Mus musculus: one gene and its partners. The protein of the gene in region 6 interacts with the protein of the main gene of each other region in a pairwise test. Links are inferred from orthologs where the notes say so. Each region holds a gene or a part of one and is shown on either strand. Other genes may lie near its edges. The genes, in order: Tmem239, Abi2, Pycrl, Kctd9, Srsf11, Sdcbp and Hnrnpc.

The links.
Region 1: the proteins of Sdcbp (region 6) and Tmem239 interact in binary tests that used the Homo sapiens proteins (3 or more experiments, as listed by UniProt). The two-hybrid records come from large-scale screens. The link is inferred for Mus musculus from reciprocal best matches to the Homo sapiens genes SDCBP and TMEM239.
Region 2: the proteins of Sdcbp (region 6) and Abi2 interact in binary tests that used the Homo sapiens proteins (3 or more experiments, as listed by UniProt). The link is inferred for Mus musculus from reciprocal best matches to the Homo sapiens genes SDCBP and ABI2.
Region 3: the proteins of Sdcbp (region 6) and Pycrl interact in binary tests that used the Homo sapiens proteins (3 or more experiments, as listed by UniProt). The two-hybrid records come from large-scale screens. The link is inferred for Mus musculus from reciprocal best matches to the Homo sapiens genes SDCBP and PYCR3.
Region 4: the proteins of Sdcbp (region 6) and Kctd9 interact in binary tests that used the Homo sapiens proteins (3 or more experiments, as listed by UniProt). The two-hybrid records come from large-scale screens. The link is inferred for Mus musculus from reciprocal best matches to the Homo sapiens genes SDCBP and KCTD9.
Region 5: the proteins of Sdcbp (region 6) and Srsf11 interact in binary tests that used the Homo sapiens proteins (3 or more experiments, as listed by UniProt). The two-hybrid records come from large-scale screens. The link is inferred for Mus musculus from reciprocal best matches to the Homo sapiens genes SDCBP and SRSF11.
Region 7: the proteins of Sdcbp (region 6) and Hnrnpc interact in binary tests that used the Homo sapiens proteins (3 or more experiments, as listed by UniProt). The two-hybrid records come from large-scale screens. The link is inferred for Mus musculus from reciprocal best matches to the Homo sapiens genes SDCBP and HNRNPC.

The regions. Positions count from the first base shown.
Region 1 is NC_000068.7:130,404,960-130,408,854, forward strand, and holds Tmem239 (transmembrane protein 239), read left to right. Parts: upstream 1-1,562; 5' UTR 1,563-1,616; intron 1,617-1,750; 5' UTR 1,751-1,764; coding exon 1,765-2,220; 3' UTR 2,221-2,835; downstream 2,836-3,895. Other genes in the region: 1700020A23Rik (uncharacterized protein C20orf141 homolog), read left to right, coding at 587-744, 822-1,059.
Region 2 is NC_000067.6:60,433,379-60,437,612, forward strand, and holds part of Abi2 (abl interactor 2), read left to right. Parts: intron 1-864; coding exon 865-1,032; intron 1,033-3,677; coding exon 3,678-3,854; intron 3,855-4,234. UniProt on the Homo sapiens protein: Regulator of actin cytoskeleton dynamics underlying cell motility and adhesion. Functions as a component of the WAVE complex, which activates actin nucleating machinery Arp2/3 to drive lamellipodia formation.
Region 3 is NC_000081.6:75,915,568-75,918,899, forward strand, and holds the end of Pycrl (pyrroline-5-carboxylate reductase 3), read right to left. Parts: intron 3,286-3,332; coding exon 3,106-3,285; intron 2,898-3,105; coding exon 2,685-2,897; intron 1,763-2,684; coding exon 1,670-1,762; intron 1,513-1,669; coding exon 1,330-1,512; 3' UTR 896-1,329; downstream 1-895.
Region 4 is NC_000080.6:67,725,593-67,729,826, reverse strand, and holds part of Kctd9 (BTB/POZ domain-containing protein KCTD9), read right to left. Parts: intron 3,501-4,234; coding exon 3,457-3,500; intron 1,178-3,456; coding exon 1,081-1,177; intron 604-1,080; exon of another isoform or gene 477-603; coding exon 418-476; intron 223-417; coding exon 94-222; intron 1-93. UniProt on the Homo sapiens protein: Substrate-specific adapter of a BCR (BTB-CUL3-RBX1) E3 ubiquitin-protein ligase complex, which mediates the ubiquitination of target proteins, leading to their degradation by the proteasome.
Region 5 is NC_000069.6:158,019,063-158,023,296, forward strand, and holds part of Srsf11 (serine/arginine-rich splicing factor 11), read right to left. Parts: exon of another isoform or gene 4,046-4,234; coding exon of another isoform or gene 3,889-4,045; coding exon 3,779-3,888; intron 2,991-3,778; coding exon 2,898-2,990; intron 2,364-2,897; coding exon 2,314-2,363; intron 378-2,313; coding exon 250-377; intron 137-249; exon of another isoform or gene 25-136; intron 1-24. UniProt on the Homo sapiens protein: May function in pre-mRNA splicing.
Region 6 is NC_000070.6:6,378,990-6,383,223, forward strand, and holds part of Sdcbp (syntenin-1), read left to right. Parts: coding exon 1-58; intron 59-2,000; coding exon 2,001-2,110; intron 2,111-4,234. UniProt on the Homo sapiens protein: Multifunctional adapter protein involved in diverse array of functions including trafficking of transmembrane proteins, neuro and immunomodulation, exosome biogenesis, and tumorigenesis.
Region 7 is NC_000080.6:52,079,785-52,084,018, forward strand, and holds part of Hnrnpc (heterogeneous nuclear ribonucleoproteins C1/C2), read right to left. Parts: intron 2,120-4,234; coding exon 2,044-2,119; coding exon of another isoform or gene 2,005-2,043; intron 1,524-2,004; coding exon 1,476-1,523; intron 1-1,475. UniProt on the Homo sapiens protein: Binds pre-mRNA and nucleates the assembly of 40S hnRNP particles. Interacts with poly-U tracts in the 3'-UTR or 5'-UTR of mRNA and modulates the stability and the level of translation of bound mRNA molecules. Single HNRNPC tetramers bind 230-240 nucleotides.

The DNA of each region.
Region 1 (3,895 bases), on a different chromosome or scaffold from region 6:
AATTGAATGACTGAATGACATCCTAAACACAGAGTCTGGAGAATGTTCTGGAAGATGCAGAAGTCCAAGCAGCTGTTGTGTTAGCATGCTTTCCTGACATCCCAAGACTGGTGGGAAGTCCCTGGTGCAGAGAATTACTGGCAAGGTGAGTGGGTGAGTTGAGTCTTAGTTCTCAGAAAACACTGATTTGTTACTGAGCCCCACCTAGGCCACCAGTGCTTATGAGGCAAAGCAAACTGTTGTCCTGTCCTTAATTCAAGGTCCTCCCTGATAATAGGTCACAATGCCCCAGAGTGTCCAAATCTAGAATGGTCACCCAAGTGGGAGGAGGTGAGGAGAGTTGGTGAAGATGTGGGGTGGGAGTGGGGGGAGGGAGATCCCCAAAAAGCTTAGTTCCTTACTCACAGAGCTAACCCTTGAGTGTCTGCCAAGGCCCTCCTCTCTTCCCTGATCCCTAATCTCTTAGCACTAGGTCTTCCTAATAACCTCTAGGACCCAGCTCAGCTCACCCTTGCCCTTCTAAAGCCATCCCACTCCTTCCCAGGGGTCTGGATCCTGGAGAGGGACTGAGTAGGGTCAGCGAGTCATGTGCCCCCCCTGGGACTTCAGCCAGGCCCAGCTCCTGGACAGTATCCTAGGGCTGGGGGCACTAGGAGTGACAATTCGAACCATCTTCTCAACGGCTGGCCTAGCCCTGCTGCTCCTGTTGCTGACCAGCTTCCTTGTTTTTGACCTGCTCTATGGGTAAGTGCCACCTGTCAGATAGGTGTCACAAACACAAATGAGCAATTGCCTCGAGCTGCCATCTTCTCTCTCCACAGGCCCACAGGTGCCAACCTGCCACGACACAGACTTCTCCCAATGGGTCAGAGCCAGGGGGCTGGTGAAGGCCCAGGACAGCAAGCAGCTCCCCTCTCTCCAACAAAGATGGCCTCGGGACTGCTCAGCCTGCAGGATGCGCTGCTCCTGCTGTTCCTGGGCCTGCGCCTGTTCTTGGGAGGCTCTGGTATACCCTTAGCCATGCTGGGCCTAGCTTTCTGTATCCATCCTTGGGCCTGAGGGCCCTCCTAAAGCTGAATGCCTTCTGAAAATACAACATCCAATCTGCTCTCTCAGATTTCTTCTCTTCCATCCTGAGCTACATGAGGGTAAGGTTGTGTGATAAGGACAGAATACTCCATCATATTCAGCTTGAACCTCAGGGCCTTCTAGTTCCACAATGTGGACATTTGAGAACTGTCAAAGGCATATTACCTTTGCCTGAAGCTTAGGGCATTAAGAGAAGGCAGAGAAAAGGGTAGTTACAGCAACCAACTCCAGCCATGGGGTTGGAAGCAGCCATCAAGGAGGGACAGGTGTGGGGAAGGCTTCCTACAAGAAGAAGAATGGTAGGCTTGCTGGGCTCTCCTGCTAGCCTGGAGGGACCATTAAGTAAAGGACATAAGTGACTCTCACACTATGCAGTAGCTCCTCTCTTGGCTGAGCCCCACCCCAGTCCGGGTCATAATGCACTCCTCTGGGGATGGTGGGGCAGGCGAGGGAGAGACTGGGATCTGGCTGCCAGGCCAGCCTAGACACAACAGGAAGCACCATGACTTAGGTGGCTCTGCCCAAAGGTAAGTCCTAGGCCCCAGTTCAAAGTCCAATCCTGCCCATGCTGGTATCCCCCTGACCCCTGCATGCCCACCTATCCAGAGGTCCTGGGCATCTTAAGGGCTGCCCCCTGCAGCTGGCCTGGCCCTGTCCACAGGTGCACCAGCCGTGATGCAGCAGCCACGAGTGGAGTCGGATATCATCGGGGCTGGCGAGGGGCCCCAGCGGGCAGTGCCCTGGTCAGCCTGGATCATCCGTCAGGACTGGGTGCGCTGGTGGGTATGCCACATACCTCGGAGCTGGACCCAGTGGTGGAATACATCAGGCTGGCGGCAACCACTACAGCGGATGCTGTGGGGTCTGGAGGGGACACTCTACCTGCTGCTGGCACTGATGCTATGTCACGCACTCTTCACCACGGGCTCCTACCTGCTGAGCTCGCTATGGCCCGTGGTGGCTGTGATGTGGAGCCACCTGCTGCCAGCAATCCTGCTGCTTGTGCTCAGTGCCCTGCCTGCTCTGCTCTTCGCAGCCTCCTTCCTGCTGCTCTTTTCCACACTGCTGAGCCTCGTGGGCCTGCTCACCTCCATGACTCAACCAGGCTACGCTCAGGACTTGGACCAATAGAAGGGCAACCCCATCTTACTGCTTGTGTCTGTTGAGCCCTGGCCTAGGGCCTGAGCCCCGTGGGGAGGGGGGCAGTGGAACTTCAACAGACCTCAGACCCCCCCCCCCCCAATCACAAATACAAGTGGGGGTCTGGCTTCTGGGCATCTACCTTAAACCCACATTGGTGTCAGGAACAGGACAGACAGTTTAGCCAGGAGCAAGAGCTTGGACCAACCACTGAGAGCACCCGTATGGATGTGGTAACATCACTTGGTCTTCCTGGCAGAATCTTTTAGTCACATCACCTCAGCCCTACCAGCTTCAGGCTTCCTGAGAATTTCCACCTACATACCCCTGGACTTGTCTGGATTTGTCCCGGATCCTCTCTTTCTACTTCCAGGAGGAACACACACTCTGGAATGGGTCTCACTGCCAGGACGATAGCTAGGGATCTCACCTCACTCACCTCTCAGAAATGGGAAAGAGGCCAATCATGATAGTGTGTGTGTGTGTGTGTGTGTGTGTGTGTGTGTGTGGACCCAAGGCTTTGTGCATAAGCATACACTCCACCCTACACACTCTTATTTTTTTTTTAAGAATCTCCAGGTCTGTTACAAAAAAAATCAAAGTCCTGTTTCAGCCTCCTACATCTTGGCTGATTCACTACTTTTGAACCTTGGTGTTAAGTGAGCCCCAATGCTTTCATGGGTTTGTTATGATCAAAAGTCAGTATCTATTTGCAAAATACTTTGCTGCTGTTGTTGTTTTGAAACAGGGTCTCATGAAGCCCAGGATGGCTTTGAACTATTTAGCTGAGGTGACTTTGAATTTCGGATCCTATTGTCTCTATGTCCAGGGTACTGGAATTAAAACTTGTGCCACCATGCCTGATTTTATGAAAAGTATTTGGTAAGGCCAAACAGCAGTTAAGATGTTTTGAGCTCTAAAAACATATAAGTTCAAAAGGCCTTTTGATTCAGAAGCTAAGAGATTAAATTTCTCTAGGCTTCTACAGAAACTCTGTCACTCATGGAATCCCAGCCCTAAAACAGTTGACACGGAATAGGCAGTGTGGTGAGATGTGCAAGGTGTGTGTCTCAAGCTAGGCAGACACTGGACTGTATGATCTGTGTAATGCTCGAGGCTGGAGCCTGGTGCCAGGGAACTTGTGCAATGCTGTGCTCATGGAAAAAGGAAAGCGCAGAGATTTGCAGGATTGATTAAGCAGGCTGCTTCCACCAGAGGGCTTTGGACCACCCAGGCTCCCCTGGCGTTTGGCCATTTACCTAGCGCTGAGCCTTCCAAACAAAGCTGTGAGTATCAGTTACCAAGTCAAGTGACAGACATGTTAGCCGATCTGCCCCCAGCTGGGGCCCAGACTTCAGTCCTCATCCACTGCTGACCTCTACCCAATCCCTGCTGCTTCCCAGCTCTTTATCTGGTTTAAATCTAACCTGAAAATCATTGCTTCTGAAGCCCTCTAAACACTCGTGCACCTTGAGCCATGGTTCATTTTGGCCAAAGCCTGACAGAGTTTTGAACTCTGTGTTCCTGGTAGACATCTTCATACTGGTAGATAGCTTCAGTGCCTAAAACCCCAAACCAGTGCTTCATTTTGTAGTTCCCCCTGCAGTGCGGCTGTGTGTCAAGGCCAGACATAGGGATGTTACTCCATTAATGATCTATTCCTCAT
Region 2 (4,234 bases), on a different chromosome or scaffold from region 6:
AAGTGACTTCACATCAGTTTTTTCATTTTTCTGTGCAATTTTTCATTTTCTTGGAGTGATTGAATCAGGGATGTACCCTCTCTGCTTTGTAATTGAGAAATGGTGACTCTTGTAGTTTATATTAATGATGGCACTAACATACAGGGTTTCTGAATCAGAAACATGGATTAGCTTTATTATACACCACAGAATCTTCCTGTAGGTGGCAAAATAAAATATGTTGGTCTGCAGTAACCTGGAAAATAGTCATTTGGTTACTTCTTGCTGCATAATCCCTGTTTTTCAAATAAGGCTTCTGGGTTGTGGAAGTTGTGAGATAGGTGCTACTGACTGCTAAGAAAGGGCCGACATTGGCAATTTCTACCCCATAAGGCTGTCTCTTAAATGACATGAGAACAGAGTAGCCTCGCATTTTAATTTTATAATTATTTTTATTATCAGACATTTTATTTATCATTATTAATACTTTGATCAAACACATTTTGTGTGTGAGAATAAAAGGAAATCAAGAGAAAGTAGAATAAGTATTTGTGCATTCATGTCAGTGCTGCCGAAGGAGTTAAATTGGGAAGATGTGTATGTGCTGTCATTGCTCAAAGTATACACTGGAACTCAGATTTTAAATACTAGCTTTAGAACTTTATTTGTACTTACATAAAAATGTATATATAAAAATGTATAGTTATCTTGAAAATATCAGTGAGCTCATTAAATCATTTAGTTTTGGAATTGTGTAACAATGATGTTTTTCAGAATATTTTAAACTTGGTATAGGTTTAGTAGCATTGTGGTTTAAATGACTAAGTTAGTTTGCTAGAAGTTAATTATCTTTAAATTGAAGGTCACTATTTTCCTCCTTCACAGTCACCAGATAAGCAGCGAGCCCTAGAAGAAACCAAAGCCTACACCACTCAATCCTTAGCAAGTGTTGCGTATCTGATAAACACCTTGGCCAACAATGTCCTACAGATGCTGGATATCCAGGCATCACAGTTACGGAGGATGGAGTCTTCAATCAACCATATTTCACAAGTGAGACCATGTTCAGTTTGTTTGCCTATGAGCAACACACAGCTTGTTGACTTGCCTTTGTTGTGCAGGTTAATGTGCATGTATTTGCAACATATTAACTTAGTATTGCATTGTTTATGATTCTTTTTGTGATGTTATCTTTTTTAATTTAATTTTTTAATATATTGTTTTACTTACTCACTTTATGTCCTGCTGTGATGTTATTATCTTTATAGTTTGACAGAAAAGTAAATTTTGATGGATTTTATTAAAACTCAGTTGCCACAGTCACATAATCACTCCTGAAGTGAAAAATTATTTTGGTATTTTATTTTATTTTTGGTTTTTTTGAGACAGGGTTTTTCTGTGTCACTCTGGCTGTCCTTGAACTCACGGAGATCCACCTGCCTCTTTGTCCTGAGTGCTGGAATTAAAAAGAAGTGCACCACTACCACCCAGGTTTTTTTTTTTTTTTTTTTTTTTTGACAGATTTTTGTTTGTTTGTTTGTTTGTTTGGTGTCTTTATTGCCTTAAAAATAATGATTTGATAGCTTGGTGGCTAATTTAATTTTTTTCTCCTGTCAGTAGGCTTTTAAAATTCCCCTTTGGTGGTTTAGTCAGTGTTTTATTCCTGTGAGAATAGTGTCTCATGTTGAGCACAGCAATTCTTATAAAGGGAAGCATTTGATTGGAGCTGGCTTACAGTTCAGAGGTTTAGTCTTTTATCACCATGGTGGGAAGTACAGTGGCAGACAGTCAGACATAGTGCTGGAGAGTAGCTATGAGCTCTGTATCCAGATAATAATGAAAAGTAGTTAATGACACTAAATATCTGTTCTTTGGCAGTGTCTTAGAGATCCACTGTAATGAGGCCCCATGACCCAAAGCAACTTGGGGAGGGAAGGATTTATTTTACTTATACTTACTTATCTCAGTTCATCATTGGAGACAGAGCAAGAACTCAAACGCTGGGGCAGAGGCTTAGAGGGGAGCTGCTTACTGACTTGCTCCTCTTGGCTTGCTCAGCCTGCTTTCTTATAGAACCCAGGACGTGGCAACAGCCCGATCTTACGGAGACATTTTCCTCAATTGCGGTTGCCTTCTCTCAGATGACTTCAGCTTATGTCAAGTTAACATAAAGTCTAGCCAGTGTAGGCAGTCACAGTTGTTACTTGAGTAAGTAATGCAAGAAACTAGTTAGAAGTTTTTCTAGATCTCTGGTATTTGATCTTGGCAATTCTACCCTCAGGGAGATGCTTGGCAACATTAGACAGTTTGGCTTATTTCAGAGTGGGGAAGTATTATAGGTTATGTCTACCCATCACAGCACAGTAACGGATATGACTCAAGTTTGACTCAAGTCAGTTATCTTTCTGTTGTATTGCCTTAAAAATATTTGTTACTTATAGATTACAAAATTATAACTTATGTGAAATGCTATATTAGTGTTTCATGAGAAATGTATTATTTGTTAGCAAATAATTAAAGAATATAAATAAAAATATTATTTGTACTATGAATGTGAGCACTTGATAAATTCTAATGAAATATGTGATCAATGTTGTGTTAATAAGATGTAAGCAACTTGCTGAAGCTAACAAGCTTTTCTGTCAAATGATGGTTTTGAAGGGAGGAGGTGGATGCTGGGAATTACGTCAGGGACTTGTAAATGTTAGGCAAATGGTATACTCCCTCACTCTACCCCTTGATCCCCATTTGTAATATTTATATTTTAGTCTTGTTCCTTCTTTGTAGTATTTAAATAATATTAGATTATACTAATATGTTTTTTAAAAATATAACAAGACTATTCTCTGCTGTTTCTTTGTTTTTTGTTTTTATTGTTTGTTTTTTGAGATAGGGTCCCTCCACATAGTCCTGGCTGTCTTTGAACTCTCTATGTAGAGCAGGCAAGCTGGCCTCAAACTTAAAAGATCTATCTGCCTCAGCCTCTTAAGTGCTGGAATTAAAGTCATTTACCACCATGCCTGGCTTCTTATTTTATTTATATTAATTTATTTATTTTTCTTTTCTGTTGAAAATGATCACTCTGGCTTGGAGAAATGATTCAGTTGCTCCAGTCTTTGCTGCACATCCATAAGGCCTTGAGTTCTGTCCCCAAGCCCATGGAAAAAGATGGGTGTAGTGTGCACTTGGAATCTTCATGCCAGGCGGCAGAAACAAACAGGTGCCTGGGACTAGGTGGTCAGCCAGCTCAGACACATTAGTAAGACCTGTGTCCTAGTGGGAGACTCAAATAAACAAGGGAGGCAGCTTATGGAAAATGATACTCAAAGTGGACCTCTGGTTTCCATATGCACAAGCATGTATATACATATGTACACCCCTTCCATGTGAACACACACACTAGCACCTATATGTGTGTACATATTTGTATAGGTATTTGTGCAGACATGTACACATGCACATTCTAAGTTCTGCTCTTGTGGGCTGTAAAAATCAGGTGATGTTCCAGGTTATATTTGAAGGCATGCTTTGGTGACCCTTGCATTAGGTTAAAAATGAATAAAGACAATAGTCTAGAGAAAAGGTGGTTTATGAAATGAATACGAAGGATTGTTGAATCTCTAGGCATTTGGTTATTATTTATTTGGATACCAGGGCTATCTGTCTTTGTGTTGTCTTATTTATATTATATCTTACAGACAGTTGATATTCATAAAGAGAAGGTTGCAAGAAGAGAAATTGGTATTTTGACCACCAATAAAAACACTTCAAGGACCCATAAGATTATTGCGCCAGCCAACCTTGAGCGGCCAGTTCGTTATATTCGAAAACCTATTGACTACACAATTTTAGATGACATTGGACATGGAGTGAAGGTAGGTGTAGTTTCTGTCAAGCTTTCTAAAGCTCTAATGGAACCCTAGGAAATTAAAGTTCATTTAATTGCCTGAAGGACCAACTCTTGGCACAGTTGTGGTTGTGAAGGTTGCTTACTATTGTTGTGTCCTCCTTATGTTTTCTTTACTGTTACCTTTCAAACCAGTTATCTTCTAATGGTATTTGCTTAGTTAATCACTAGATCAATTAGCGTATGGTATAGTGGTTCTAATCTTTTAATGATTTAGTAATGATAGGAAAAAAATCCAGCATATTATTAAAATGTTTTTCTTATCTCAAAAATATGTCAGCAGATTTTTGGCATTAGTTTTCAGAACAGCATATGTTACTAAATATGAATTTGAATTTTTTTCTAGAA
Region 3 (3,332 bases), on a different chromosome or scaffold from region 6:
CTATGCTGTGGTCTCAGAGCCCTGGCCCTCAATCTCATTATCTCACTTTTCTCTATGTCCTGGTTTTCCTGGCATGCTGGTACAGGAAACAATATCAAATCTTTTTTTTTTTTTTTTTTTTTTTTTTGATATCCTTTCAAATCCTATGGAGTCAAATCCTGCCAGGGCAGTGCCAGGGCTATAGGGCACTCAAGGACTCCTGACCCAAGCCAGAATTCTGGAGACTCAAGCTCTACCTGCCATAGAGCCGGCTTAGGTCCAGTAAGGAAGCAGCCTATATCCAGCTCAGCTCTTCCCCTTGACTTACCTCTGCAACAGGAGCCATGTGGTTGTAGCTTCTCAACTGTGGAAGGGCATGCTTGCTCAGGTGGGTTTCCCAGCTTCCACTGGGGACTCTCTCCTCCTATGGGCCAAGGCTCTGGGTTCATGGAGAGGGAGGGAACTTCTGCAGCAAGTGGCATCTATTCCTCTGCCATTCCCATCCCTATCCTCATGAGTGTGACCACTGGCTTTTGAGAAGTCCCACGGAAATTCAAGAGGAGGGCCAGGGCTCCAGACCAGGATCAGTAGCTAGCAGAAGATGCTTTGTTGCTTCCAAAATCCAGGCCAGCTTTCAGGCACTGGAGACCGGACATTACCAATTATGTCAGTAGGGTTATTGCCACTGTGGGGTAAGGAGGCCTGCAGACCGGGATACTGTTTCCAAGTGTAGAGGAAGTGAAAACAGTTGCATGATGGACAGAGACCCCATGGTCCTTAGAGGTGGGACAATAGGAAGATGAAGGTGACCTAGAGAAGCAAGGAGGCTAGTGCCCAGTATTGTAGGAATTCTCCTTGAGGAAATATAAATATTTACCCTCTCTTTATACGGTACCAAACCAAAGTACAACTCTACTAAAGTCCAACTTAGAGAACCAATGAGTTTATTGGGCTTAGAGAATATGGACGGGGCGCTGCTTACGGAGTGTGGGTGATCCCAAAGCAGCCACAACCAAAGACGTCTCACGCCAGCATGGAGGATGATGTCTACCACCTCCACAGGAGACATATTCTACCAGCTCCTGTGACCATGAGGACACAACTGCAACTGGCCAGGAGGTGCAGAAGGGAGGATCTGGAATCTCAGGTAAGGGGCAAGCGATTCTTCCTTGACTGAATGTCACAGTCAAGGCAACCCCGTCTTGATAGCATCTTACAAGTAGTCACCGCTTCTTGGATAAATTAGCCATTCCACTTAGAGGACTGCCCACTACATCTCCCGTCCAGGGCTATTCTCACCACAGAGGCTGCAGCTGGGCAAGGAGCCCGTAGTCTCATCTGAGGCCTGCCTTACTTCTTGCTGAGCTCCTTAGCCCGGCAGGTAGCTGCTTCCACCGCACTCATGGTAGCCGCTCGAAAACCGCCCCGCTCTAGGGCATGCAACCCATGGATGGTGGTTCCAGCTGGTGTGAGCACATCTGTCCGAAGCTGGGCTGGGTGCTTCCCTTCCTGCTGCAGCATCTTGGCTGTCCCCTAAGGAGGAGAGTTAAGGGCAGTGAGAGAAAAAAGAGGGGAGGCAGCTGCACATTTTCCCAGCCTGTCTGGACTCCACAGGCTCGTCTTCCAGTTCGCTGGAGACAGCTCACACTCAAACCTTCCCGACATTCTCCCGAGGAAAGGCTTCACTCACCAGCAGGGTCTGAGCAGCAATGCGGTGGGCCAGGCCACTGGGCATGCCCATTTTGATGGCACCTTCAGCCAGGGCCTCTGAAAATGTACACACCTGTAGCAACAGCATTGGGAGTGGGGAGGGGTCATGTCAAAGTTGACCTTTTGCTAGACACAGTTCACAGCTAGAGAATGCTCAGAATAGCGGTTCTCAACCTGTGGCTCGTGACTCCGTTAGGCTGGAACCCCTGCTTGCCCACCCGTGCAAGCTGGGAAATCGCATGTCTGTGTTCTCCTTCCTCCAATCCCACCCACACAGAAAACTCCTTCATCCGGAAACATGTCATTACTCCTTGTCTCTCCACTTCTGGCAACCCACCCACGAGTGCCCACCCAAGGGCTCAGTTTTTGACCTCGGATGCTATGGACACAAGCCCAGCTCCTAGCTGGCATGTCATCGTGCTTCGCCTAAGCTCTGTAAAACCCTCTTGCTTGATTAGCCTGGATGTGTGACTTTACTGACCTCTACCTGTGAGATTGACTAACTCACCTGGAGAGCTGCCTCCTAATAAATCTGCCTTTATTTCATTTTAATCTGGTCTAATCTGGCCTGTGTGTCACCAAGGGAGAGAAAATGCCTATCAACCCCTTTGGGAGTTGAACAATCCTTTTACAGGGGTGGCCTGAGACCATCAGAAAACACAGATATTTACATTATAATTTATAATGGTAGCAAAATTACAGTTGTGAAGTAGCAACAAAAATAATTTTTTTGCTTGGGGGGGGGGGTCACCACACCATGAGGAACTGTATTAAAGGGTCACAGCGTTAGGAAGGTTGAGAACCACTAGCTCAGAATCACAAGAAACACGGCCCTAAACATGGTCACAGATACCTAGACTATAAGGCCTATACCCAAGAGTTTGGTAAAGGAGCCAGCCTCGATGGTCCAATAAAACATGATGTTCTGAGGGACAGCAGAGCTCACAGGGGGATCATTTGAAGCCCCCAAGGCTTGACTCTGAGACAATACTCACAAAGGCCACACCACTGCCACTGAGACCGGTGTGGATATCTACGTAGGACTCGGGAACCTCTATGCACTGCCCACAGGCTTCCAGCAAGTTCTGTAGGAGCTCTGCGTCATCGTTCCCAGCATGGTGGCCCCGGGCCATCACCATGGCCCCCTCCTGGACAACGCAGGGTAGATTGGGAGAGACTCGCAATACTCGTGTGTTCGGGGGTAACAGCTGGATAGGAGAGAATTCAGCGTCAGGCAAATGCAGCCTCTATCCCCACTGCCCAGGTACCTTGGCAGAACATTATCCCAGCCACTGAACCCTGGTGAGCCAACTGGCTAACTTCTGGTGCTTGGTTGGGATGCTATCTCCTTCCCAAGTATGGGCCACAGATCCTGTTTCAGAGTCAAGGCCTTACTCACACCAAGGGGCCACTCACCCCCTCCATTGTGCTCAGAGAGATCCCAGCAGCCACAGATACGATGATGTGCTCAGTGGTGACTATGGGGGCCACTTCCGCCAGGACAGTTGGCAGGACTTGGGGTTTGGTGGCAAAGATGACAAGTGGGCAGTTTTGCAGCACCTCATGGTTGGAGTGAGTAGTCTGGCAACCCAGAGCCTAAAGAGACACAAGGGCCAGAAATGAGGCTGTGTGAGGCAGCATCC
Region 4 (4,234 bases), on a different chromosome or scaffold from region 6:
ATAAGCAAAGATACTCAGCCAGAAAGACTACCTATCCATCCTGATACCTACACTGCCATACTTACAGTACTCCCATGCCTGTGAAATACTTACCCAATAAGTTAATGCCATCATTTACAATGAGCTGTCCATGACGTAAGTAGTTCAAAATAGGTTCAAAGTACTCAGGACTTCGGTCAATTAAGAATGCTCCTCTATGATCTTGCTTATTTCCCCAGACACCTGTGATACCATTTTAATAAAGAAAATCCCCCCATAAACAAAAACAAAGTCAGAATTTGTAGAACAAACCAAAAAAAAGTCACATAATATACCATCATGTCTTTACTGCCATAAAAACGATTTGATCCCACGCCAGTTACAAAGTCAGCTCAGATAAAAATGGACCACAAAAAAGTGAGAACAAGTCCTACTGACCTTTGTCCTTGAACATGTGCGCCAGCATACTGTCAGGCTCTTTATTCACTAAAGTGCTCCTAAGAATTCAGGGAAAAAAATTGATTTCTTCATGTGTCTTTACAAACAAACATATTTAAGTCAAGAGTACACTTGAGTTCAGCTGTTCTCTCAAAGAGATGCATGCTACAACCTGGTAGGGTGATGCTGGGAAACAAAAATGTGCAGTAAGTTGCCAAAATCCCTTCTGATCTGGCCATTCCTTTGATTTCATGCTGCATTATAATCTTTTTTATTTAAATACTAGCAAGACATTTTATTACAATATTCTTGATCTTATATTATCTGATCAATACATTGTTGTTTCTAGAAATATTGCTAATTTCTATGTGCAGTTGGTTTACCACTACATCTAAAAAGCAAACTGTAAAGCTGAATTGATGCTTTATTTATGCTTTCTCTGAAATGAAAGGTTAACTTCACTTAAATTTTTTCTTTAAAACTTTCTAAAAATGGTTTCATCCACATATTTTTAGGAAGCATTTGAAAATCTTGTAAGGAAATTGAAAAATTGAAGGAATCAGTACACAGTCCTGTTTATTCTGTTTTGCCCTTTCACACACACACACACACACACACACACACACACACACACACACGCATGCATACGCACATACTACCTACCTTGTTGTTGTGAAGTATCGTCCTCCTACATTTAATGTGAGCCAGTCTGTGTGGGATCCTAGCAATCCTCCAGGTGGTCTAGCATCTGTCTGAGGATCTAGAGATGACAAGTAAAAAATAATAGAAATATTAAGATTAAAGATTCTGGGAAGATAGTAAAATAATTTCTCAAAGCAAAACCTCATATGAATCTACCAAAGTTCCAAGACAACCATGAAGATACAACCCAAGAAAGAGTCCACAAAGCTGCTAGTCTAAGAGAAGGAAGTCCTTTGGGTGATCAGGAATAGTCACGTGAGACCAGATTTCTTGATGCCATCCTTTATGTCATAACAAAGTGAAATAACTTACTTACAATACCCAAAAAAGGAAAGTGTGGGCCAATAATTTTTTAAGTGCTTCTTTGTAAAGCTGACATAAATGTACATACTTAAAGTTTATAATTCGATAAACTTTGATGTGATTCTACATCTGACTTTCAAGTGGAGACAAACTGTCTAGATTGCAAGATGCCAGAGAAAATTGGTTACAAAGACTCTGGGAAGAATCTCAGAGTACTTTCAATCACTAGAAAGAACGGCACAAGCACTGAAGATGAGCACTAGTGCACTGGGGAAGGAGGGACAGTCAGTACATGACTGATGTACCTCTTGACAATGTAGAAACTCAACCGTTTTAACACAGAGATGGAGGCAGGAGACTAGACAAAATATGTTAAGCTGCTGGAAGACCCTATTAGTATTGAAATATTAATTGTTCCTCTGAAGTTTTATGTGGTTTTTGAGTGGGATAGAGTGGATGTGATATTATAATTCTATCACTCTCTGAATTCTTGGAAATCAGGGTTACAAATATGGAAGATAGGAAAGAAAGTCAAGAAAGTCAAGAAGGTAAGCAAAAACCTTATAATCCTGAATAGACCCTGAAAGATCCAGCATGAACCATGAGATATTTTATATCATATTATAGAACATAAACATCTCAAGTTATAAACTTTACAATATACAGCATAACATGTAAATTTTATCTCTAGCTACTTATATATCTCCAACTCTAGTCATCAAAAGGCCTTATAACAATTATAACCAGACTGTATCTTGAACATGACATTAAGTCATAACAATAATGTTCCATGTCTGTAACAAAAGAGAAAAAGATGAACACCTTATTACACTAGAGGTAAAGGAACCATGAAAGGCTAGTGACATTGAGTTAAAAACGAGTAGGTTTCCACTGACCGAATGAGACACATGAGACATCAGTACATGTAGAGGATGAAAGCTTATCAAATATTTCTGAGTCCAAGAAGTCACAGGAATAAACAAAATCCTAGCAGAACTGTTGTTACTTTTGCGGGGGGTGGGGGGGAGTAGGTTAGGGAACTGAACTCAGATCTCTATACATAGCAGACACTGGTTCTACCACTGGATTAAACCCTAGTCTAATTATTTATTATTACTTAATGAATGATTTTTTTATGACTAGCCTGCAAAAATAAGCTTTCAATCAGGCCAGTGGGTACATGATGGAGAAAAGATTTGCTCATAGTTTAAGATGGAAGTAGAAGACGCTATACATTTATTTTGTTATTGGTTTTTGTTTTTTTTTTTCTTTGAGACAAGAGTCTTACAATGTAGCCTTGGCTGGCCTGGAGCTCACTATGTAAATCAGGCTATCCTGGACCTCACAGAGATCCACCTGCCTCTGCTTCCTAAGCAAGTACCAACATGCCAGAACACTTCCTTTTAATGTGGCTACTGCCTAAGCAAAGACTCCTAAGGATCTCCTCTACTCATCCAATACAATGACAGTAATGCTTTAAACACTTAAACACACACCCATGGGTGAATATACAGAACAAACTAAATAGTCGTTAAAGAATAGTTGCCTACTTATGTATTAGGTCTTTTCTTTAGAGATACTCAAATATATAGGCTTTCTTCCAAATGAAAGGATAGTGGCTGAAGCCAAGTCATGTTTTCATGTTAAGATCTGATCGGCAGTAAAGGACTGTCAAACACTATGCAAGGAAAACATGGCTACAAGTAAGTAATATAATACTAAAGAAACGCTAGCCATTGCTTTCAAAGAAAATTATTTCTAAAATCAAAATTATCTTATCATGTCCTAGGTCACAAACGTACATATCTAGGATATCTTAAAAGCACGTAAAGGAGGAAATATATAGACTATAATTATAATTCTTATGTATAACTATGTAATTTGACATAAACTCATTGAAGAATAAAAAAAAATGTGAAGACCTGAGTTTAGTCATCATGATGTTTTCAATGTTAAGTCATACAGTTCCTTGTAAAGCTATTTACTGTTTCATGTTTGTTACTGTGGCAAGAAAAGATAGGTAAAGTCACTTACCAATAAACGGCTCTCCTTCACACACAAACAGCACATCATCATCCCTGGGAAAGCCAGAACGGAAAAGCCACAGTCAAAAGCAGAAAGCACGCTTGTTAACTGACGGCTCGTCTGAGCTGCTCCTCAGAGCTACACATGACAAGCCTTGTCACCAACCTGCCTCCAAGGAAACTGTCTCCAGGGCTCTGTTTAAACCTGACCAGGTCTAAAAATCAAACACAATTGATTCTGCATATCAAAGTATTTTTTAAATGGAACAAACCAAAAACTCACTATCAAAATTTATGAATTTGGCATATATTAATTGAAGAATGCACTAATTTATGTTCAAAATACATGACTGAAGCCACAGGCAACTTTTGTCTTGAACTCTTTACTTCTAAATAAATTATTGGAGTGCTTTCTCAAATAATTAGCTGCTGGGCACTTTAGAAATTAAAACAAACTGTCATATTAAATCCTGAAAAAATGAAAACCTGAGCAACTCTGTTCTAAACACCTACTCACCACCCATCTACCATGAGCACACTTAAATATCTCAGCTCACCCATCCTCTTGGATTACCAGTTTACTCTCCTCCCTGACCACCCTTGCTCCATTAGTGTAACTCAGTAATCAGACACACTGCTGTGAGCCAGAAAGCACAGTGTAAGCCTCATACAATCCTGTCACAGTCATCTCCATAGGACTTACAGGAGTTATTTTGTGGATCAACATTGAGCTTTTCATGGGAATAGAATTTTTGGTTAAAAATTAGATTGATATATAATATTCAGAG
Region 5 (4,234 bases), on a different chromosome or scaffold from region 6:
GAGCTTGTTTAGTGGTGGTTATACCTGCTTAGCATCCACAAGCCTCCAGGTTCCCTCTCGGCAACTCCTACCACCACCCAAAAGAATCTGATTGGCACTGTACTACATGATTTTTGTGTCTCAGAATACAGAAAGTCTTAAAAACAAAACAAAACAAAAACGACAAGAATGTTATTCAACAACTTCTACATGTAGGCCATTACCAGCTTTACCAAGAACTAAAATTTAACATGTGTATGAGCATTTTACCTGGCTCAATAGCGGCAGAAATCAGGGACTGGGCTTCACGCACTCTCTTCATGGCTTCCTCTATTTCTTTACTAGAGGTGTCTGACTTCAGACTTGGTGAAACAAGACCAGCTGCTACATGATTCAATCTGGAGCAAGAAAACAGTTTAAAATTTAAGCTTCCATTTCAAGTAAACAGGTATGTTTCACATACCATCATTATTTGTAAATAATCCTTGAAAGCAAAATACCGGGAACCACCATTTTAATAAGCAGCATGCAGTGAAGTGCCACTTTCAATGCTTACAGAGACCTGGAGTAAGAAAATACTTATTTTGGAAAATGCTAGTATAAGAGAACATATTGATGCTCAAGTTAACCTTTCACCATAGGATTTAGGGGAAAGCATTACGTATTAGACTACAGATGGGAAGAAACTAAGGCATTGGTCAATAGCTCATAAACTTACACATGAAATCTTAACCACAAAAGGTAATGATCTGTGTTTAAGTGCTTACACATGCAAGGGAAAAAGCAAAAACAAATCCAATAAATTAGACAACCTCAGTTATCAGTGGAGAGGGATGTCATCAAGAACAGGCACAAATGGCCCTTGAGACCCAGCAGGCAAAGGCTATTGCTGTTAAGTCTAATGACTGTGAACCTCCTTAAAACCGTCCTAACCCGAATACACACTGTAGCTTGTATGCATGCACACCACTGCGCTAAACAGATTTAAAAAAAACAAAACAAAACAAAACAAGTTTTTTTGAAAGAGTGCTGGGTGTGGTAGTACACTCATTAATCCTACCACACAAGAGGCAGAGGGAAGCAGATCTCTATGAGCTCTAGGATAGCTAGCCTGATCTCAGCCAAGGCTATATGAGAGTGAGCATAAGAGCCCATTATGTATTGGTGCTACTAATATGCTGGGCTGTGGGGATATTAATCAACTAAGCCATGTCCTTTGTCCTGCAATGTTCCTCTACTCACTAATAGTGATGTTGACTACCTCCAAATTAGGCTACATTGGAAAAAGCCCCACAAATCTGTTATCTATCAAGGAGAAAAGAATTCTAAGTACTGGGGTAAAAGTACCTATAAGACATGGTAGTGTTAGTCCCCTAATATATTCTTCCTTCTCCAATTTCTTTTTTTTTTAATTTATTTCATATATATGACGAATACACTGTAGCTGTCTTCAGACACACCAGAAGATGGCATTGGATCCCATTATAGATGGTTGTGAGCCACCATGTGGTTGCTGGGAATTGAACTCAGGACCTCTGGAAGAGCAGTCAGTGCTCTTAACCACTGAGCTATCTCTCCAGCCCCCTTCTCCAATTTCTACCTCCCTCAGGGCCCAGACTCTGATCTAAAACCCAAGATTTTTTTCTCTGTGGTCCCTCCCCCTGGCACTTCTATATGTTTCCCATTTCAATGTACGTACTTTGCCACAATAAATGCTTAATATTGATTACAGAAATCCTTTGTGCTTTTTATTGATTTTTTTTTTTGGAGTCAGGTTATTATGTCGCCAGTCTATAGACCAGGCTGGCCTCGAACTTACAGAGATCCACCTGCCTCTGTCCCTCAACTGATGATATTGAAGATGTGCACCACCATGCATGGGCTCCAATGTGTATTTTGTATAAATCATCAAAATACAACTTTCACACTATAACAAGCCACTCACAACTATTAGGAAACATTCAAAACCCTTATTTTTGGATTCCCTTTCTTGTTTCTACAATATAATCTATAATTATACACCAAGCATGTCCTAGGAATAGCTAATTTTTTTTTTCTGTTAACTGTAACTGTTCTACAATGTAATATATAACAGAGAAACTATTCTTAACTTGGTATAGTGGTCTATGCCTGGAATCCCAGCACTTGGACAGGAATTTGAGTTCAGGCTTGACCACATAGTGAACATATGGCAAAACTATATTACACAGATATAAAATATATTACATATAAAACTATATTATATGTACCTCAAGAAGAAAACAAAAGTAAGTGTTCTTTTGACAGTTATACAGTATAAAACCAAAAGAGACAAATACAAATGAGAAAGCTTACTTGGGATCAACAGTACTCATAAGTTTCAATAGCTGGTCTGCAGCAAGGGACTAAAAAAAAAAAAAAAAAAAAAAGACAATGAACACACAGCAATAAGTGACTGTTATTTTAAGTTTCTTGAAAAGTTGTGGGACAAACTGGCAACCTATAAAGTGCAATGCTTTGTGTATATCCATGGCAAAAAGGTAAAATGCAAATTATGAATTCTAACAATGGGTAACTTTGTGGCTAAGCCTATAGAAGAGGAGGGAAGCAAATTATCAAGAGTAAGGCTGAGCAGTCTGGGTTTATTAGGATCAGCTCTTGCTTATTCTAAAGACTTAAAATAGAAAATCTGAAACTCCTTAGAGTAACAGAACATCTCTAAAAAGTACAAACTCCAAGAAACAAAATATTCTCTAAATGTGTCAAGGATTAATGACTGATGTAATTCAGTGGTCATTTAAAAATCTCTTTCAAATAAGTCAACAGAGTAAAAAGATTACAACACAATCAGCTAACCCTTGCTTTGAAATGCAAACCAAGGTTTAATGAAATAATACCCTACAAACACAAGCTCACAAATGAAAGGTAGTAAGATATACCTGAGAGTTCAAGTTTGTTCCTGGAAGCCCAAGAGCAGCAAGGGCAGGATCAAGAGCTGGAGCTCCCAACGCAGCCAGGGGAACAGCGCCAATCTGCAACAGGTAAGGGTTTATTATATAAAACATCTTTAACTTTCAGTATTGGGCTAGACACTAACTTTTTCATTTATAAAAGTACTACTGCCATGGTTCAAATTCTGCTGTATAAACTATCTAAAAACTGGACATAATTATGTCCCAGTAAAAATATATCAACAGAAATGAGGGTTGTGGTTTGTAGTTCCTCACACCTGTCCATATGATGGTCAACCTCTCATTTTCTTATAAAACATTAATTCTCTATGATCTATAAAGAGAAATGGCCCTCTCAATATAGCCTTAAGTACTAATTGCATCCTCAATGAAAACCAGCTCTGTGCTATGATGACAGGACCCTAAGTACTTTTCTTCTGGCTGCTGTCATTTATGCATGCTGTCTACTGTCTGTTTGGATACTAAGGTAGAGGCTTCTTTTGGAAGCCCCCATATCCTGTTCTCCCAGTTTTAGCATTATCAAGTACAAATCTCAATACTAAATAAGTCCTCTGGTCAAAATGTTTGTGTTCCTGTTGTGCAGCACTGTTCCTCACAGGACTGCTAGTCACTCATTAGATGTATGGTAACTCTTATTCCCTAATCATCCCCCCTTTTTTTTTCCTGATTTACACTGCCAAGATCCTGTCTTCTTGACAGAAGTTTTAGTTAAACCACAATTAAATCAACACAAACATGCAAAGTCTTACAGAGGCAGTCTGACTTTCCATTCATGTGCTGAAGTCGTCTATTGTCAAATACTACCTCAAACACTAAACATACCCTTTCTAAATTCAATGGGGCCATACCTGGGTAAGTGGGTTGGGGGTAGGCAGGAGTCCACCACCAGGCAGAAGACCTGCCACTGCATTAGCTGGTGCCAATAGAGACAAAGCCTTAGTCTCATCAGGAATAACTCCTGCAGAGAAACATCCTTGCATGAGAACACACTCTCTTTGAAGACAGAAAACACACAAAAACACCCAGAAAATGTCTCCCTGATACACCACCTGAGTTTGTTGAAAGTACTTATGTTCGCTAAAATATAAAGTTTGATCTCTATGATTATTTATCATTAATTTTATGTCAGAATGAAACTTCAATGTGTGAAAATTTGTTTCCTTTTTCTCTACAATGGTTAAGTTTCTAGAGTAAAAAAAAATAGCACAATACACACTACTGTTTTGTTAACACTGCCAAGATTTCATCACCTGTACTCGATTTTTAAGTCATGAACCAAACGTAAGCAAGCACAGTCGGTTCTC
Region 6 (4,234 bases):
CCCGCCAGCCAAGCATTTGTTCTGGTGGATGCTTCTGCTGCTCTCCCTCCAGATGGAAGTAGGTTTATACTTTGCTCTTGGTGGGGTGGAGGGACAGAGATAAATATAAAGGCCTTCTTCTCCCCTGAAATTCAGAATCTGGGATTTTGTTTTGACATGTTATGGTTTTTTTTTTTGAAGAAATACTTGTTTAATTAAGAGTGATCTTTGCTCTTGTGAGACTATGCCGGGGCCTAGCAAACACAGAAGTGGATGCTCACAGTCAGCTAATGGATGGATCACAGGGCTCCCAATAGAGGAGCTAGAGAAAGTACCCAAGGAGCTAAAGGGATCTGCAACCCTATAGGTGGAACAACAATATGAACTAACCAGTACCCCCGGGAGCTCATGTCTCTAGCTGCATATGTATCAAAAGATGGCCTAGTCGGCCATCACTGGAAAGAGAGGCCCATTGGTCAGGCAAACTTTATATGCCCCAGTACAGGGGAACGCCAGGGCCAAAAAGGGGGAGTGGGTGGGTAGGGGAGTGGGGGGGTGGGTATGGGGGACTTTTGGGATAGCATTGGAAATGTAAACGAGGAAAATACCTAATTAAAAAAAAAAGAGTGATCTTTGAGTATGAAGGTGAGTCTTAGGGCATAATAAAATTCTTAGTTTGATTCATAATCTTTAACATAGTCTGTTCATTAGTGGGAAACACACTCTTCCATGGGACTACAGTTTTCCCAACTGCCGCTCTCTCCCGCATCCATCCTGAAATGCCTCTTTCTTACTTTGCCGGGGAACTCAGGAAGTTTCCAACTGTCTTCTTTTTGGGATATTTTTCAAAACTAGGAGTTGCTGTTCAGACTGGATAAACCATAGCCTGTCCTCCTTCCACCCTGAATCAGAGGCTTCAGGATAGAGCCTCTCTGTAAGACATGAAGAGACTAAGGAAATGATTAACTTAAGTCCCGGTGGCCTTACCTCTTCTCATGCCATCTCTTCACTTTATTCTTTGTAATGACTCTACTCTGAAATCAAAATAGATCATAGAAAAAGATTTTGGAAGAAGCTCACTTCAAAAAAAAGTTAACTAGTAATGTTTAAACCGTCTGTTTGTCTCATTTCGTTAGAATAAGCCTGTCAATCTTAAAGTGGTAGGACAGAGTCCATCCCAGGCTTTGACATTGTCCCCTATTACTTGAGGGAACCATCCCATCCTGTCCCATCGCTGTGTGTGGAGTGAGTTAAGTGGCTGAGGCACTAAACACTTCGGGGATTCTGAACTGAAGAGTCCGTGCCATAACCCCCCCAATTTTCTAAGGTTTTAGGATTATGTTAAAAAAGAGGGGGGGCAAGGTCATTTATTTGGAAAATTATTTTTACCTTTGAGTAGTTACCTCTCTGTGTCTTTTATTTCCATTTCTATATTTTATATTTGTACTGTGAACTTTTTTGCTATTTTTCTTAAGAGAAATCAGCAGCTCTCAGTGTTGAGTGGTATTGTGTAGGATGAGTCTCCAGCAGGGGTCAAAAGCAGACCGCATGACTCGCACAGGTCTACTGATGGCTAGATGACCGTCAGCTTTTAAGGTCTTGCTATCTAGCCTTGGCTGGTCTCAGATTTGTGGTAATCCTCCTGCTTCTGCCTCATAACTGGAGTCTGGGCTTAAGCCCATGTTGCCACCATGGCCAGCTTGAGACCATTTTAAATGAGGATTTGGACACCTGCACACTATGGTGGTCTGTGGTGGGTCCTGAAGTGCACCATGGCCGCAGACGGTGACTCTGGGTTAGAAAGCTAAGACGGCTTCGGATGGGTTTCAGAGGTTAGGGCTTTTGCATTCAAGTGGTTGTGGATTTTTTCATTCTAATTGTGTCAGAGATGGGAAGATATCCTTCCATTTTATGCATCTAAATCTTTGTGCCTTATTTTTTTTTTAAATTGAACACAGCAAGTTCATACTAAGTTGTTATTTTGAATATTCTGCCAATGCCTTTTTCTTTGTTTATATTAGATCTGTATCCTAAACTGTATCCAGAGCTCTCTCAATACATGGGACTGTCTTTAAATGAAGCTGAAATATGTGAGAGCATGCCCATGGTCTCTGGAGCACCAGCACAAGGGGTATGTACAGTCTGATCTTAAGTCCCACAAAATGTCCTTTATACATAGGTGTAAACCCATTTATAGGAAACTCACATGTTCATAACTTTAGGGTTGAACTGTCCTAAGATTATAAAATTCTTTCTAGAAGTATTTCTGAACATTGTCATCCACTGGTGAATTGATTAGGTCTTTGTCTTGTGCATTTTATCCTTCCCTAACCCGGCCCCTGCCGGGTTTCTGAGTTACTTTTATCCTTTCTAGCTGTATAACTGCACTGAGGTTTGGAATTCTGACATAGAGTTACTAAGTAGTACAATTATTTCTTAACATATTTCACAGCAAGTCTTGTTCCAGACATAATTTCATTCTGGATAGGTTAGTCACTTGAAGTATATAACTGACATATTATTTTGCTCACGTTCTTAATATTCCTCCTCCTGTAATTAGAAGCCATTTTTATTTTTATTTTTTTGTAATTAGACTGAGATTCTAGGTTTGAATGTAGCACATAGCTCTTGCAGTAATTATAGTTACAAGCTTCATGACTGAATCCACTTCTATCCTCTTGCTACTGCTTATGCAGTACCTGGCTTTTATATGTTGAAACTTCAATATTTATTGAAAGCTAACTTGCATTACTTATGGTCTTGACTGGTAAATTAGTTAATCTGCTTTGGCTCCTGGCAGGTCATGCTTCAGCTACCTGCCAGAGCTGTCTAGATTCTCGAATGAAAGACACACACACACACACACACACAGAGAGAGAGAGAGAGAGAGAGAGAGAGAGAGAGAGAGAGAGAGAGAGAGAGAGAGAGAGAGCGCATTATTTTTAATATGTCTAACTTGCTCAGTGGCTAGACACTTTCAAACCTCCCCGAGGTTGGGGCTAGCACATTCTCTCTTCTAACATTCCTGAATCGACTTGCTAAATGAGTGTTTCATCTCTGCTACCCAAGACCCAATTGAGAGAGCAAGCCTTGGACCACTTTCCCCCTTACATGCTGGTTCCTTTCTTTCCTGTAGCTCTTAGTCTGATCCCTCTGCTTCCCCGTCATGGCAGTTCTCCTCTCCTTACCCTCTCTCTCTCCCTTCTTTCTCAGTCTCCGGCTTGCACACAATCTTCTAATCTAAATGTCCCGCCTCCATCGCTCTGTCCAGCCATTGGTTATTATCAGTGCATGACTTTGGGAGCCAAAATAAGACAGAACATTAGAACTGATTCTCAACAATTATCCAGTTGATAAAACGGTATTTCAGCTGAAGTGATTTGAGAAATTAGATAAATGGTCAAAGATTTTCAAAGGAAAAAGTAGAACCCAGATAGAAGTGGCGAAAGCCAGCTGCTGCCCTAGGATGGAGTGGATCAGTGCTGGGGCCAGAACGCTTAGGGATGCAGCCTGTTGCAGCTTGGACCTAGGGGAGGGGTTCTAATAGTTGCAGCCTCGGAGCGGCTAGGCAAGTTGTAAGACGTGGCTCAGTGGCTACAGTGCTTGCTGCTATGCCAGAAGACAGCCCCAGAGGATATGACATCTTCAGGCATCCACAGAAGTGGCAAATACAGACATATAGATGAATTATATAAAAATAAATCTTAAAAAATTTAAAGTAAAAAATGTAAAGTCAACCAACAGTAAAGTAAAAAGAGGCATGGAGAAAACAAAAATGCTAGTTGCTATGTTTATAGAAAATTTATCTTCTAACAAAGAAAAAAAGCCAATTATAGCTATTATTTCAGTGTATCTGACTTCCTTTGCCCAGGTCTGTATACTTTGATCCCTTTATGTGAGCATCATACAAGTGTCCCCTCCCCATTTGTACATTTCTTGCTTTGAAGGTAATCTGAAGTTACTTTAGAAGTATCTGCATTTATAAGGCTCTGTGGTATACTCTGTTCTTATTCTATCGTTTTGTTTACTTAATTTGTTCTGCACATTTCTCTTAGCATATATTTCACTTAGTACATAATTCACTTCACATACCGTGTAGTTTTTGCTTTTGTGTTCCACTTAGTTTTTCCCCCCAGCTTTATACAGAAGGTATACAGCTTTATACAGCTTTATACAGAAGGTATACTGTACCAGTGAGTTTGGGCTACACCGCTCTGTGCTCTTGTTGGGTTGCATGCTTCCAGCCACACACCCA
Region 7 (4,234 bases), on a different chromosome or scaffold from region 6:
CTCTGGAAGAGCAGCAGTGCTCTTAACCACTGAGCCATCTCTCCAGCCCACAATAAATCTAAAGAAAAAAAAATAGCATTGCTTATTATGCATGTCTCACTGTCCTTTGAGATCTTTTCAATATTAGTGTTCTTTCGTCAGAGGTCCAATTTAGGGTTGGGGCAAAGTATCGGTTAGAATCTTCCTAGTACCTGAATTCAGGATGTTTTTATCTCAATCCCTAAGACTTCCAAGCTTGTCATTGTTTTTCAAAAAAAAGAGCGGGACAGTGCTAACCTTAAATCCCTGAGGCAAACTCAGTGGGTTCAAGGCCAGCTAGAGTTAGAGGTAGTCTCTTAAAACAAAAGCCAGGAAATTACAGTGTATTAGAGGAAATGTTAAGAGCCAGGGCTTCACAGAGAAACCCTGTCTCCAAAAAAAAAAAAAAAAAAAAAAAAGTGCTACAAAGAGTAAAACCAAACACAAGGGAGAAAAAAATTTGAATATTGTAAATAGAGCTAGAAATGGTAACTATACCTCTAATTCCAGTTGTTGGGAGGTAGATATAAGAGCTTAACCTCACAAATAGAGAAAATATCTTATGTCTGTATATATATGTAGTATCTATTAATAGTAAATCTGTTGGCCTATCGAATAGGAAATAGGCGGTAAGACATCCAGCAGACAGAAAGGATTCTAGGATAATATGAGGCACAAGGAATTGCTTAGGAAGATGTGACAATGGACACATGGCACTTGAGCAAAGGTAGCCAGACAGATAGCAGAATGTAGGTTAGAGTAAATGGGTCATAAGTTATGATCTAGTCAGAGAAGAGCCTAGCTATAAGGCCAAGGTATTGTAAATATATTGAGTGTGAGTCTTACTTAAGGACCATGGAGCTGGGAGGAAGAACCAGGCACAAACTTATAAAGTATATGTCTGTGATGCATGCTATGTTTGGCTACTAATGTACTGTTTCCTATAAGAAAAGAAAATTCTCTGACTCTCCCTGCTGTGGTACATATGCAATGTGTTTTGTCCTCTCACTTTGTTAGCAGGCACTTATCACTGTGTGGGAAAATACACAAGAATAAAACAAATTGGATTTTGTGAATTTTCTTATGCCTTCTTCAACAATCTCTATTTAGCATAAGAAAACCTGACATTTGTATTTCCAAACATCATAGTGGTAAAGTATTAACTTTATTTGCATAAAAAGCAGCATTTGAAGTTGGGCGTGGTGGCTCACACCTTTAATCCCAGCACTCAGGAGGCAGAGACAGGAGGATTTCTGAGTTCGAGGCCAGCATGGTCTACAGAGTGAGTTCCAAGACAGCCAGGGCTACATAGAGAAACCCTGTCTTGAAAAACAAACAAACAAAAAAAAACAAAAAGAAAAAAGAAAGCAGCATTTGAATCTTTTTATTGCTTTAAAAAGTCAGTGCCTGGCTTTCTAACTATCATCATAAACACATATGAGAAGCCTCATACATACCTGTCATAATAATCCCGTTGAAAGTCATAGTCCAAGTCAAATGAGGAACTGAAAGATAAATTTCAAAAGATTATTTTGGAGCTGCTGTTGTTAATTCAACAGGCAGGTGGGGTGAAAACAGGCCAAACAAACCACAACAAATAGATCAGTAAGATTAGCAACAAATAATCCCCATTCATTCAACGAAATCATTTGCCCTCCATGTAATCTTAAGACCACTGGACATGCAGTGATTAATTTAGCAACAGCGAAGAAGCAATACAATAGTTGTTACACCACAATGCCCTTATTTTCTAGCTTCCTAGAAACTAACCAATTCCTCATTTTGTACTACACACACACATAGAATTATTCCTAAACAACAAAAATCTGAAAACAGACCCAAAGGGAAGTATGCTAACACAAGTTAATAAGAATTACACTTTTGCACATAGAAAGCACATTGCATTAACCCTCCCCACATCCAGAAAACACAGAGAAGATGCCCACTGATGGACACAATGCAGTTATAAATAATAAAGTTCCGGACCTGAGTAGAGGGGACGGAGAAGGGTGTTCTGGTACTGACCCGTACATCTCCGCTGCAGATCGTTTCACACCTGCTTTTCCTCGGTTCACTTTTGGCTCTGCAGCCAGGTTAATATCTGGAAAAAAGGAAAACAAAGCCCAACAGGAGTTAAAAGAAACAAAAACCAGGCTGGAGAGATGGCTCAGCAGTTAAGAGCACTGATTGCTTTTCTAGAGGTCCTGAGTTCAAATCCCAGCAACCACATGGTGGCTCACAACCATCTGAAATGTCTCTGAAGCCCAAAACCAAAACCCACGTGCGTATGTATGTATGTATGTATGTATGTATGTATGTATGTATGTATTTTCATTCCCCAGCAAAGCAAACCTAGGCCTTTTGTTATCTAATGACTAATCTTAGTAATATTAGCTCTCCTCCTCACTTAGAAAAGGTTAAGCTTTACAGAGCTAGCTTTCCTTTTTGGACTGTCAGATTCCAAAATGTCCTAACATAACATTTTCTCTTTGATTTTTTGTACTCTACCAGCAGTGGATAATGGTTTTATCTTGGGAACTGGTCAGCATTTGTATTTTAGTATGGAGATAAAGATTATATAAATAATACAAACGGGCTATACAGAGAAACTCTGTCTCAAAAAACCAAACCAAAACAAAAATAATACAAACGGATTTTTTCCTTAGATTGTATTAGGCCCAACTAGCATGGCCAACGAAACATAGGGCAGACACTAACCATGAAAATAACCCAGAGAATATTAAAACTTTCAAGTTCCAGAGGCTATACATTTTATTCCCAGCAGAAGCAGGCCAAGTTCAAGGACAGACAGAACTAACAAGACCAGCAACCAGAGAAAGTTATGTAGTTTTAATACATTCAAACTTGCTTTTTAAAAGAAACTTGGACCAGAAACGATGGCACACAGCTTTAATTGCAACACAATTGGAGCTTGAAGCCAATGTGGTCAACATAGTAAGTTTCAGAACAGCAAGGGCTAGAAAACCTGTCTTAACCCATACACTCCTACCCCCAAGAAGTTTCAGGATTAAGTGAACCTGTGGGAAACTAATAGAAGCAAAGCAGTTAACAGTGTTAGTGATTCTGTGTATGTGTTGCTTGAAAAATTCTAACCTATAAAGCATTGACTGAAACACATAAAAGGGCTACAACTGAGATCTGTGGCAAAATAAGTCTAATATGCCCAAGGAACATATTTTTATATGTTTTTATATTTTTAAGCAAGTAAAAGAAAACATATACAACTGCATACATTTGGGGTGGATAATAGCAAGACACTGTACAGAATTTGTGAAATAAAATGATATGCACACCAGCCAAAATATGCATATGGAGGCCACAGTAAAACCTATGTTATTTCTTCTCTTCAACATTGTGGGGTCCAAATATTGAACTCAGGTTTTAGGCTTGACATCAAGTGCCTTACCCAGAGACATTATGCCATCCTAAATAAAAGATTAAAAAAAAATCTCACTTCCCCATTTCTAGAAAGTAGTACTACACTAGATCTGCCAGAACTACAAAAACATGCTAAAAGCATAAAAAGGAACATGCTAAATTAAAAGGAAACAAGCCAATACAAAGAGGAAAACCTAAAAATTTCTTCAACAAAGAGGCATAAATTTCACCATTTTACTGTGTACAAATAAATGTAAAATTAAGAACTAAGAGATAACTTACTAGTGTGAGGACTGAGTATTTCAAACTTTTAGAAATCACCATAAACTATGCAGTTAAGAACTTAAATACAAAAAAAGAGACAAAACAAAACAAAAAAAAAACCAAAACAAAACAACAACACAACAACAACAAAAAAAAAAAAGAAAGAAAAGGGGCTGGTGAGATGGCTCAGTGGGTAAGAGCACCCGACTGCTCTTCTGAAGGTCCAGAGTTCAAATCCCAGCAACCACATGGTGGCTCACAACCATCTGTAATGAGATCTGACTCCCTCTTCTGGAATGTCTGAAGACAGCTAAAGTGTACTTACATATAATAAATAAATAAATCTTAAAAAAAAAAAAGATGAATAAAATCTACTTAAAAAAGAAAGAAAGAAAAAAAAAACTTAAATACACATGCTGAAATTAATGTAGGCCGACCAAAAGGGGGGAGGGGAGGCTCAATACAAAGACACTGTCACATCAAGTATGAAGGCTACTACCTTTACAGACTTGAAACAAATATACAAATTTAAGGTGAGAAATACTGCTTGTTT